3 linked regions of the Coturnix japonica genome follow. The protein of the gene in region 2 purifies or fractionates together with the protein of the main gene of each other region. This does not show direct contact. Links are inferred from orthologs where the notes say so. Each region holds a gene or a part of one and is shown on either strand. Other genes may lie near its edges.

Region 1 (3,655 bases), on a different chromosome or scaffold from region 2:
GAATTGGGCAAGAAAGAAGATGATCCAGAGTACCACTGTGCAATAAAAATTGCTCATCAAACTATTGCAAATATGCAAGAACGATTAAATCACAAGGAAGAAATGGTAAAAAAATACCAAGATCTGCTTGCTAAAGCAAGAAAGGTAGTTATGAATTGCATAAACTTTTTTTCCATTTGTAAAGTTTTAGTTGATCTTTTGTTAACCTCGCTGCTAATGGAAAAATTCTTCTTGGTTTCAGAGAGAACAGAATACAATTACTTGTTTTGTTTTTTTCTTTTTCCATAGAAAGTTAATGTACAATTTTTTAACTTCTTTAAATAAGAGGTTTGCTTGGTCAAGTGGTTTATGTATATGGTATATGTCTAGGAATTAAATTTGCATTAAAGGAAGATGATAAAAATTTGCTGGGAGAAGTGGTCTCCATTCTTCCAGAGTCTTTTCAAGTATTTGCAATGGTGATCCGTGTACTTAATCTTGCAGTAAATTTGGAAGGCATATGAAAGTGCATTTATGGAATACACACTTCTTACGTATACTGTCATTTAAAGTATACTTTTAAAGCATAAGCTTGTGTTAAAACATATTATTGTATTCTTAACATTTGTTTGGAACAGAGGCATATATCTGAAGCATAATTGTTTACTTAACATACATAGTTAATTTATCTGAGAGAGATCAAGTTTTAGGATAGGAGCTAAAACAGAAGATGCAGTCTTTAGAATGAACGTACTGTGCTCTGTCTGCTAGTAGACATTTAACCCATAGGATCGCATTAAAGTTAGTCCAAAGTAGGCAGCCCTGAATACTATATAGTATGGATATCACTACCCAGAGCGAGTCACAGTTGGTGAGGAGCACCAGCAGCTGTTTGCTTTCTAGCTCCCGCCATTTTACAGTACACTACTTGCAATATATCTGAAAACTGCAATAGTCACAACTTTCTAGTAGTAAGTGCTGAGAAGATGGAAAAAAAGAAAGGTATAATCATTAACAAGATGCAAAGTCTTTTTAAAAACAGAAGAACTGGAGGAAAAATTGAGGAACAGTACTGAACAATAACTGAAGAATCAGTTTGGAGGGTACTTCAGTTCCATGTGCATCAGTAGAATCACATTTCTATTTTGAACTAACAGGAACAAGAGGAATTAGCAAGGAAACATGAAGAAGATGTAAGAATTCTACACCAGAAGTTAGATTCGCATACTGAGAATTCTTTCAATAAATTGAAACAGACTGCTTTGGTAAGTTGTGTGTATTAGTGGGATTAGTGAACTTGTTCTGTATGTTGAAACTGGTTACTCAAAAGAACAGTTTTGTAGTCAAAATTAAGTAATAATGATGATGAAAAATAAATAGATGGTCAATACAGAAAGAACTTCAGAAATTCTTGAATTTGAGATAGATCAATTAGATGACAAGTGTGAAACAGAAAATTTCTACTTTAGACTACATCATCATTCTTTTTATTCTAATCTGGAGACTTACAGAGGAAGGATGAACGTTTATTTTTTCTTTATTCTTTCTGTCAGTTGCATTAAGTCCATTATAATGCAGATTTTCCTTTGACAATTGATGATAAGGTGACACCCACATGTAATTGGTTATTCTGTAGATTATTCCATGTGCAAAGTTCTTTTCAGCATGATATAGAAATTGTATCTCATTAGCTAAACATTCTAGATACTAACGTTCGGTTAGAACTGAGTTTAAAATGCATCACTAACCTTTGATTTAAAGCATAAGATGTTTATCATACACATTTGTTCTGTTTTACAGGAGTTAATGGAAAATCCTTCTCTATCGCTTAAGAGCAATGAACTCTTCCTCCGTTTAGCTGAAATGGAGCAAACTGTGGCAGAACAGGACAATTCTCTTGCTTCACTTGCTGTTAAATTGAAGAAAACATCATCTGATTTGGAGAAACAAAAACAGATTACTGTAATGAAAATCAAAGACTTTGAGACTATCAGAGCCCAGTAAGTTTTCAGACAGTTAACTTTAAGCTGGTCAGCTATGTGTTGCTGTTACTGACAGGGTCTGCTGAATTGTACATATTTTACCTAATATTTAGGTTTGGCCGAATTTTTTTTTATTTTTTTATTTTTTTCTTGTTTGCTATTCTCAGATTTATATATCATTTCTTTACTCATTAGATGGTAAGACACTGGAACAGCTTGCTGAGAGCATGGATGCCCCATCCCCAGATGCATGCAAGGCCAGAGTGGCTGGGCTCTCAGGCAACCTTAGTGAGAGGCGTCCCTGCCCATGACGAGTGGGTTAGAACTAGATGAGCTTTGATGTCCCATCCAACTCAGCCCATTCTGTGTTTCTACGATGATTTGCTTTAACAACAAAAAATACAACATTGTTGTTTTATTTGGAATTTGCTAGCTAATAATTAAGTGATTTGCCCTATTAATGTTTATTTTACATTAGGCTTCAGGAAAAACATGCAGTTGATGTGGAACTACTAAAAGATGAAGCAAATGGATTGAGGAAGTTGCTGTCTCAAACAGAGAAGGAATTAGCCCATGTAAAAGCTGAACTAGAGGCTCAAAAAGAAGCAAATAAGAGAGCACCTACAGCAACAATGAAGAGCCTAGTGGAACAGCTGAAGAACCAGTTAGCCCTAAAAGAGAAGCAGCAGAAAGTCAGTCAACAAAAATTAAATATCTAGATCACAAATAAAAATTAATGTTTAAAGTGGCTTAATATTTAAGAATTCTATGTATGGTACAGCAAGAAGTGAAACATGATTGCATAATTTAATATAAAATACAGTTGCATTTTGTTGTTTTCTGGTGTTCATATTAGTGGCTTCTTCTCCTACTATAACTTGCATCTTTTATTTTCAGGCTTTGAGTAAAGCACTTCTGGTACTTCGATCAGAAATGACTGCAAATGCTGAACAGCAGATAATTTCTGCAGCATCACAGAAAGAGGCATATATGAACGTCCAGGAAATTGTTGACAGAGAAACTAAGAAGCTCATGGTGAGTACAAGGTAATGTCTTTGTAGTCTATTATTATGTTGCTGGTACATCTTGATGTTTTTTGTTTTTTGTTTTTGTTTTTTTTCTGTATTTTTTTTCCTCTAGACACAGATAGAGGAACTAAATAATCAGATTTCAAAACTTACAGATAATCTTAAACTGAGTAAAAACAGGGAAAGATCTTTATTAGATGAAAGGGATGAGCTCAACCAAGAACTTCAGAGGAAGCAAAAGGCATTTACTAAAATGACAAGAGAAAAAAATGAAATCGAAATGGAAAATGATGAACTGAAGAAACGGATCAAGAGACTAACCAGTGGTATTCAGGTAGAAGTGATTTTTAAAAATGTATTTCACCTTGGTTAAGCTTTTATACTAGATGGGCTGGCTTGATGGAGGAAAGATTAACTGATTTTGACAGGCACTGAGACCAAGAATCAATATAAAAGTGTATGTTTGCTATCAGCTGAGTTACAAATGAGCTATTAGTCTTTCCTGTTGGAAGTATGTCTCAAATAAATTGAACAGGCTAAAAAATACTTTTTTCTTGTAACAAATTTAGAGTTTGAAGAGTTGAATTGCCACTTTTAAAGCTGTTAAGAATGGCTAGCTTGAATTTTGTGACCTTCCTGTTTGGAAGTATAACTGTCTGAACTTTG
Region 2 (3,655 bases):
TTAGAAAAAGAAAGCAGTATTTCTCCAGTTGTTATCTAACAAGTCGCGTTTCCCTCCTATTTACCTAAAACATGCACCAGAAGTCAGGACTTCAAGGTTACAAACTTAAGAATCTTGAATTCCTCTTTTTAATATGCACCATATCAAAGTATATCAGGCTTTTACAACTTCCAATGGAGTTATTGTTCTTCACAGAGGCTCATATGGTGCTGCATTTTGGATTTTTTATGAGAACAGTGCTGACAGCACACCATTGCAGGTGCTGCAGAGCAGCGTTTACACAGACACAAGGATATTTCAGTTCTTCATGCTGCCTTGCCCATAAAGGGCTGTGGTACACAAGGAACTGAGAGGACAGAAACAGGATAACAGCTGATCCAGACCACCCAAAGGATGTCCCATGTCACATGTCATAGCGCTCAGCAACATAAGCTGGGTTGAAGGAGGAAAAGGGGATGTTTGTGATGATGGCTTTTATTTTTCCCCCCTTAAGGAACCATTACACATGATGTCCAATGGATTCATTGAAAAAAGGATTCAAGCAACAGCACTGAATAAAGTAAGTCAGCTCCAAAGCCCTCTTGTCTAATACTTAACATCTGCCACTATTTGATCTTATAAAAGCTATTTGCATTTATGAGTTCTCTGAAATGGATTCAGTCCACCTTTTGCAACCTGTTTTAAATGACTAACTTCATTCCAACTATAAAAGTTGTCATGCAAAGACTGTTTTTACATACCTTGTTTCTACATACGAATGCAAGAAGTGTGCACCACTGCTCTTGTTTGCCACCACCTCCTCCGATGACAGGAGCTCTTTCATAACCCAGGACACTGACAAATCGTGCTGCTTGTCTAGGTGTGTCTAGCAACCGGCCCGCTCGAAGTGGTCTGATATATGAACATACCGGACGGTTTACTCCATTTTCATCCTGAACGTGGTAAAGAAATAATAGTACTATTAAAACTTCCTAAAGCAATCCATTATCTACTGTTAGTTTCCAGTGAAGCTTCCATTCCGGCTGCACCAGGTGTGTTCAGCAGTGAGATGAATGCACCACACCCTTACGTGGAAGCTGACACTACTCCCGTACACAGCTGGTGAAGCCAGAAGAGAAGACCTCACTTCCCTGAAGACAAACAGCAGGTGTGGATTGCTTCCGGAAGTTATTTCATCATCTGTGCCAGGAAAATTGCTGCTCTACAAGTTAAATTCATATATTAGCATGATAAACACAAAGCATCACAGAATGGCCCAGGTTGGAAGGGACCTCAAGGATCAAGAATCTCCAAATCTCCTGCCACAGGCAGGGCCACCAACCTTGCCATTTAATAGTAGACCAGGTTGCCCAGGGCCCCATCCAACCTGGCCTTGGACACCTCCAGGGATGGGGCATCAGCAGCCTCTCTGGGCAGCCTGTTCCAGCACCTCACAACTCTCAAAGAACTTCCCCCTGACATCCAGCCTAAATCTTCCCTCCCTCAACTTGAAACCATTTCCCCTTGGCTGTCTGTTATCTACCCTTTCAAAGGCTTGACTCTCCTCCTGTTTGTAGGCTCCCTTTAAGTACTGAAAGGCTGCAATGAGGTCACCCTGCAGCCTTCTTTTCTCCAGGCTGAACAAGCCCAGCTCCCTCAGCCTGTCCTTATAGTCCCATACCATTCCTACTACTGAGGGGCAGTCACCAAGGAACAACTGATGTGATTGTGACGTAAGTTACAACACAGTAACTTACTAGCCAATGATTTGTTCACATCTGTAACTACCATGCAACATTCACCAGCCAGATTACTTTATTAACCACAGAGTGCTCAAATATTATATGGATCTGCTCCAGTATATCCAGTAACTCCACTACTTATTACTGTATAAAACCTGTCTGCAATAGTTTGTATAGATCACTTAAGCATTTGCCATTTGTACTTATTCAAGGAAAAGACTAAAATGGCTTTTCTACCTCCTACACCAGGGGTGCTTGGAGCAGCCTTTCTCTATGAAACATACTCTTCAGCTTCAGTATACATAGTTCAAGTCTTGAAAACTTCATTGTCAGCATACTGTATCACATGTAGCCCTGAATGGAATCTAACCACATCATAAATCTATACAAATTCTACATACACAAACTTCAAACATGCAGCTAAGACTAAAAAAAACACCTTGAAGAACAGATTGGTGTATTTGTAAAATATACAAACCTGTGCAAAAATCTTTACCAGCCTTGAGTTGTGTGTAGGCCTGATCTGCAGGTATTCTCTCCACCACTGTTTAGCATACACAAGAAATAAACGTTCTTTTTCTGCTGTCTTCTGACGTTCCAAAGTAAACTACAGGTAGGAAAATACACACAACCATTCACACATATAATAATTCCAAACAAGAACAAAAAGTAATCAATATACATACTAGCACATGATCCTTGCATATGAAAAATGAAGTTTAATATGACAGCATGCAACCAATGCTAAAGAATAGTATTTTAAAGTGAAAATCCAATGAATGTAAAACTCAATTTACATTTCTTGTTTGTAGGCTGATATATCAAGCTTGACTGAAGTAGTGTTCATCTTCAGTGACGCATATCTGTATAGAAGGACTACTCACCTTGCTAAGTGTGGAATAATATCTGTAACACCTTTGGGCCACCATTTACTGGCTTTTCAAGTAGAGTAACCGACCCTTTATCTACATAAATAACTGTACAGTGTGCATCCCCCCTGCTGATAAAAGAACAGGCCATCCCTCACCCCCTACATATTACTTACCTGAGTGCTTGTTATTTCTGGAGACAGAGTCTTAGTAAGTGGTGGATACATTTCAAGTCTGATGTTCAAAACACCGACAGAAACCTTTGATTCTGTACCTTTGAACCAAAATACATTCCTATCAGTCCTTTCAAATTCATTTGACACAGAACAAATAATAGTTTTAATCATACCATCATAAAAATAAAACCCCATAAACTTCTCTAAGTACATACAACACAAAGATCTTCACTGAAATATTCTACTCAAGAATGAAAGGAATGATAACCTGGCTAAAGAAGCTGGTAACTGGATCTGAGCCCTAAGGGCCTCTTTCCAGGTGATACCAGAACATACAAGATGAATGCTGTTCTGTAAGGGCTAGAATAGGCACCTACAAATAGACTGGAAGAGCCACAGTGTACAAGTGCCCATTGTTACTGAATGTACAACTCACTGCTCAGATCACTGTGGTTAGAGCAGGATCATAACTGCTACACAGGACAAGCTAGATTTTACACTTGAGAACACTGACACGGTATTTTTCCTGGAGACGCATTTGTTGATTTATGTTTGTTTTGATAGTTTACCCACATCCTGGAGATAACAGAGGCTCCCAGGTACAGGGACCACTATTGCACAGGATCTGGAACACACATTCTTAACACTTTGATAAGACAAAAATCTGACCATTAGTCCTTTATATAAACTCTTCTTAAGGATACCTTAAAGTAATTCATGAGTTGATACCTTAAAGTAATTCATGAGTTGATTAGCTGAACTGAAATCAAACCAAACCATAAATACTACTTTAAGCTTCTAATCAAACTTAGTACGCAATACTTTAACTCATCGTTAAATGCTCATTAGTTATTCTTACCTACACCCAGGAGTTCAACAGCAACATTTG
Region 3 (3,462 bases), on a different chromosome or scaffold from region 2:
GCCCTCATGCCAAACACCTGAACTATGGTAAACTTCAGTTCAGAACCTAAAATAGACAAGCAACAAAAGCTTTTACAACAACTATGTTATTTTGTATGGCAACATGGTCAGAAGAATTACTTTAGGACAGGGCTAGTTGATTTCAGTGACACAGTAGCACCAGAAGTTAATCTGTGTGTTCAGAGAGATGCAGTAGGCGTACATGTTCATGTCTGTGCGACTGGCAGTATTGTTCTTGGAGGAATTAGTATAAGCAAACTGTTGGAAACACCGGCTTTTCACTGCATGTTGCAAAAGACAATAATAGCAAAGCTAACTTTCCCCTAAAAGTCACATCAATCTAACATCCACTGGCAAAACTAATTTCCCTTCCTGCATTTGTCATACAAGTTACCTAATCTTTCTTCACTAAAAAAAAAAAAAAAAAAGTAATTAAAAAAATGGTTTACACAAAATATACCTGCAATTCCTTGCCTGGAGTTTAAATGGAAAGCACAGTTTAGGAAACTAAGTGTATTTTCCAACAGGCAATTAAGATAGTTTCTTATCTACACATAATTGGAATGTCAAATACCATCAAGTAGAAAAAGGAAAAACAACTTCCCCAAAAAAGAAACAACCAAGAGAGATATCAATAGTTTTAAGTCATGACATTTGCTTTTAATATTCATAGCTGTATATAGGAGTTGTGATCCATCAAACACACTCATGTCTAGAAAGTCATGAATCCCAAAATGACATTAGCAACCTCGTGGAGGCAAAATACGTATCATTAAGTCCGCTGCTGTAAGTCAGCAGTGTACTCTTGGAAACTAAGCTCCCAGATCACATGCCCTTTTGAAACTTGGTAAAGGCTGCTACAGGTTCCACTTTGAGTTTTTTCTTACCTGAGAAAAAACAGGGAAATTCAACCCCAGGGAAAACAAAGACCAAAGTTTGTTTGAAGCTCCCCTAAGGTCTGACTCCTCTAAGTCTTTGTTTCAGAATCTATATAACTGACCAAACTCTGAGCCAGCAGCTTCAAGTAAAAGATAGTAAGATGTCACTGGCTTGGACACAGGATTCATGGAACGCATATCTGAAATGCTAACTAACACTTGCTGTAGTCAAAAGCTCTGAAAGGCAACTGCTTTCATCTTCTTTCATCAGATTTTTCTCTTTGCAGAGCAAGGATTCAATTCTGTTTTCTAGAAGGAAAAAAAATAATCAGAAGACTAACTAACACGTTCATTGAGGTGAATTTACAGCCAACACCCCTCTGCGCCCCTTCAGAACTAATTTCAAGGAAGCCATTTACTAGAATATCAGCTACGTGTTAGAAAATAAAGTGCATAATGAAAGACACTGAGAACTTCGTTGACTTCAAGCTAGCACAGTATACGTCAGTCCTCAGCAACATGAGCAGACTGCCAATTAAAACAAATTGTTAACATGAGTATAGAATGTGAATAAATAAAATCCAAGCACACAATAATGGAAATAAGTTTTATATAAATGGGGGAACAAAAACAAACAAAACTGAAATGGAATCCCTAGTCCTTAGTGAAACAGAGCCTACTATACAGCTATTCCAACATGCAGCATCTGAAATGAAGAATCACAGTCTGTTTGCTTCCCCTCACCTATTCCTGAATCTAGTTTGCAGCTGTCAGGTGTCTGATTCATTTCACCTCGTGCTGGGGAAGATGTCCCTTGAGGGATACCTACAGACAGAAGGTCAGATGAAGAATCTTGGCTCTCTGCTGAAATATCAACTTGTGGCCAGCCACCCTCTTCTCCTTCATCATTGCAATTTGTCCCTTCATCCGCCTCTACTAGTTGCTCAACAGATTCCAAATACTGCTGTAGAAGCCTGTTGTCCTGCTCGTTATTCGAGCTCTCTGTGCTTTGTTCACATCCCCCACCGTCATCTTCTACATCTGAAGAACGTTCTGAAGCAGAATTGCCACACTGTTTGATGGTTTCCACCGAAAGAGAGCCCTCAGTTCCTTCTGTTAGACTCTTTTCATCAGTACACAAGTCACCAGTATGAGTCTGGTCAGCCATGGCAGAATGAAAGCCAGAATCTGGGAACTGTAACAAAGGCTTCTCCTGAAGGACATCACCAGCTGGAGCTAAGCAAGCAGAACTGACATCTGATGGGGTTTCTTGCTCAAGAGTAGATGTTTGAGTGGACGGTTCTGAGAGACAAGAAGTACCGGCTGAAGGGATCCCAGGTTGACAAGTGGTACCTAAGTGTTGTGTCACTGTAAGCTGCCACTGTTGAAGGGATTTAACCTGCAAAGTATAAAAAGCACTTAGGTTTCTAAGCTATTGCAATTGGCAACAAAGCTCTAATCAAATATTCAAGCTCGGGAAGAAATAACAGCTTATTAAAAGATATATATACATGCTTTTTCTACTCTAGAAATGATTTGATTGATGAGAAGCAACACCGCTCGACACTATTTCACTTGCCCTAAGCATCCAGCAGGTGCATCAAGTCTCATGCCTACCATGCTTGTTTAGTTTTCCTTGCACTTTGTCCTTCTTCTCATATCAAGCTGTATTTTATCACTTTATTACAAACACAGCTTATTGCATTAACACTTCTGAATGTTACTTTTCCCCTGAGTAAAAGAACAGCCAAATCCATTGCAATTAGATTCTAATAAGCCACTGAGCTTGTAATTGGAAGAATGAACCATACTCACCATCTCTTCATGCTCTATAGTATGAAATATCTTCTCTATTCATAAGCAAAAAAAAAATAAGAGGACTACAGCTATTTACCTGGTTCCAAACAAATCTGACAGCTTCCTCCTGTACAAGCCTCTGAATCTTATCTTCCTCTCTTTCTTTTCTTAGTCTGCAAGAACACATATCCAAAATAATGCAAATTAAATAATATCCTGGTAACAAAATCAACAAGATTACATAAAAATGCCCTCTGAACTTCTGAAAACACCATTGAGCCCAACACTGGCTTGTCATCAATATCCAGTTGCTGTCCGTCCAAGTAACAATTAAGAGTTTGCTTTCCTTTTGCTGTCAAACATGCACTGACTTGCTAATACTTCAAGGATCTTTTTGCATACTGAACCTGACCTCTTCAAGTAGATGTGTCTCTTTCTCCTGAAGTAGGAAGGAGATAAAGGAAGAAAAATAGTGCTTCTGCGCTTTAAATTCTGCCTTCCCCACCTGATGCCATCAAGATAAATGTGGAGGTATCATGTGAAAGCATTGGGATTTTCTATAGGCTCACCAAGAGCTCAGTCTGATTCACAGAACTTCTGTCATTTATGATAGTAAACCAAAGGGATCTGACAAACTGTTCCCAGACTGATCCTGAACGATATTAATATATCCACAATTCCTGTATTACAAGTTGAGAAACTTTGATAACAATCCCCCTAAAACATAGATTCATGTGATCAAAAAACAGAATCGTATTTGAAAATCATAAAAGCAAAGTGAGAATCA

The links.
Region 1: the proteins of CEP76 (region 2) and CEP290 purify together in Homo sapiens (co-immunoprecipitation; 5 studies listed by BioGRID and IntAct, with this or other methods). This does not show direct contact. The link is inferred for Coturnix japonica from reciprocal best matches to the Homo sapiens genes CEP76 and CEP290.
Region 3: the proteins of CEP76 (region 2) and CEP97 purify together in Homo sapiens (co-immunoprecipitation; 4 studies listed by BioGRID and IntAct, with this or other methods). This does not show direct contact. The link is inferred for Coturnix japonica from reciprocal best matches to the Homo sapiens genes CEP76 and CEP97.

The regions. Positions count from the first base shown.
Region 1 is NC_029516.1:38,937,892-38,941,546, reverse strand, and holds part of CEP290 (centrosomal protein of 290 kDa), read left to right. Parts: coding exon 1-144; intron 145-1,136; coding exon 1,137-1,244; intron 1,245-1,779; coding exon 1,780-1,979; intron 1,980-2,439; coding exon 2,440-2,653; intron 2,654-2,858; coding exon 2,859-2,996; intron 2,997-3,101; coding exon 3,102-3,323; intron 3,324-3,655. UniProt on the Homo sapiens protein: Involved in early and late steps in cilia formation. Its association with CCP110 is required for inhibition of primary cilia formation by CCP110.
Region 2 is NC_029517.1:87,454,232-87,457,886, reverse strand, and holds part of CEP76 (centrosomal protein of 76 kDa), read right to left. Parts: coding exon 3,626-3,655; intron 2,865-3,625; coding exon 2,767-2,864; intron 2,329-2,766; coding exon 2,200-2,328; intron 933-2,199; coding exon 741-932; intron 1-740. UniProt on the Homo sapiens protein: Centrosomal protein involved in regulation of centriole duplication. Required to limit centriole duplication to once per cell cycle by preventing centriole reduplication.
Region 3 is NC_029516.1:76,482,403-76,485,864, reverse strand, and holds the end of CEP97 (centrosomal protein of 97 kDa), read right to left. Parts: intron 2,849-3,462; coding exon 2,773-2,848; intron 2,278-2,772; coding exon 1,623-2,277; intron 1,188-1,622; coding exon 1,087-1,187; 3' UTR 636-1,086; downstream 1-635. UniProt on the Homo sapiens protein: Acts as a key negative regulator of ciliogenesis in collaboration with CCP110 by capping the mother centriole thereby preventing cilia formation. Required for recruitment of CCP110 to the centrosome.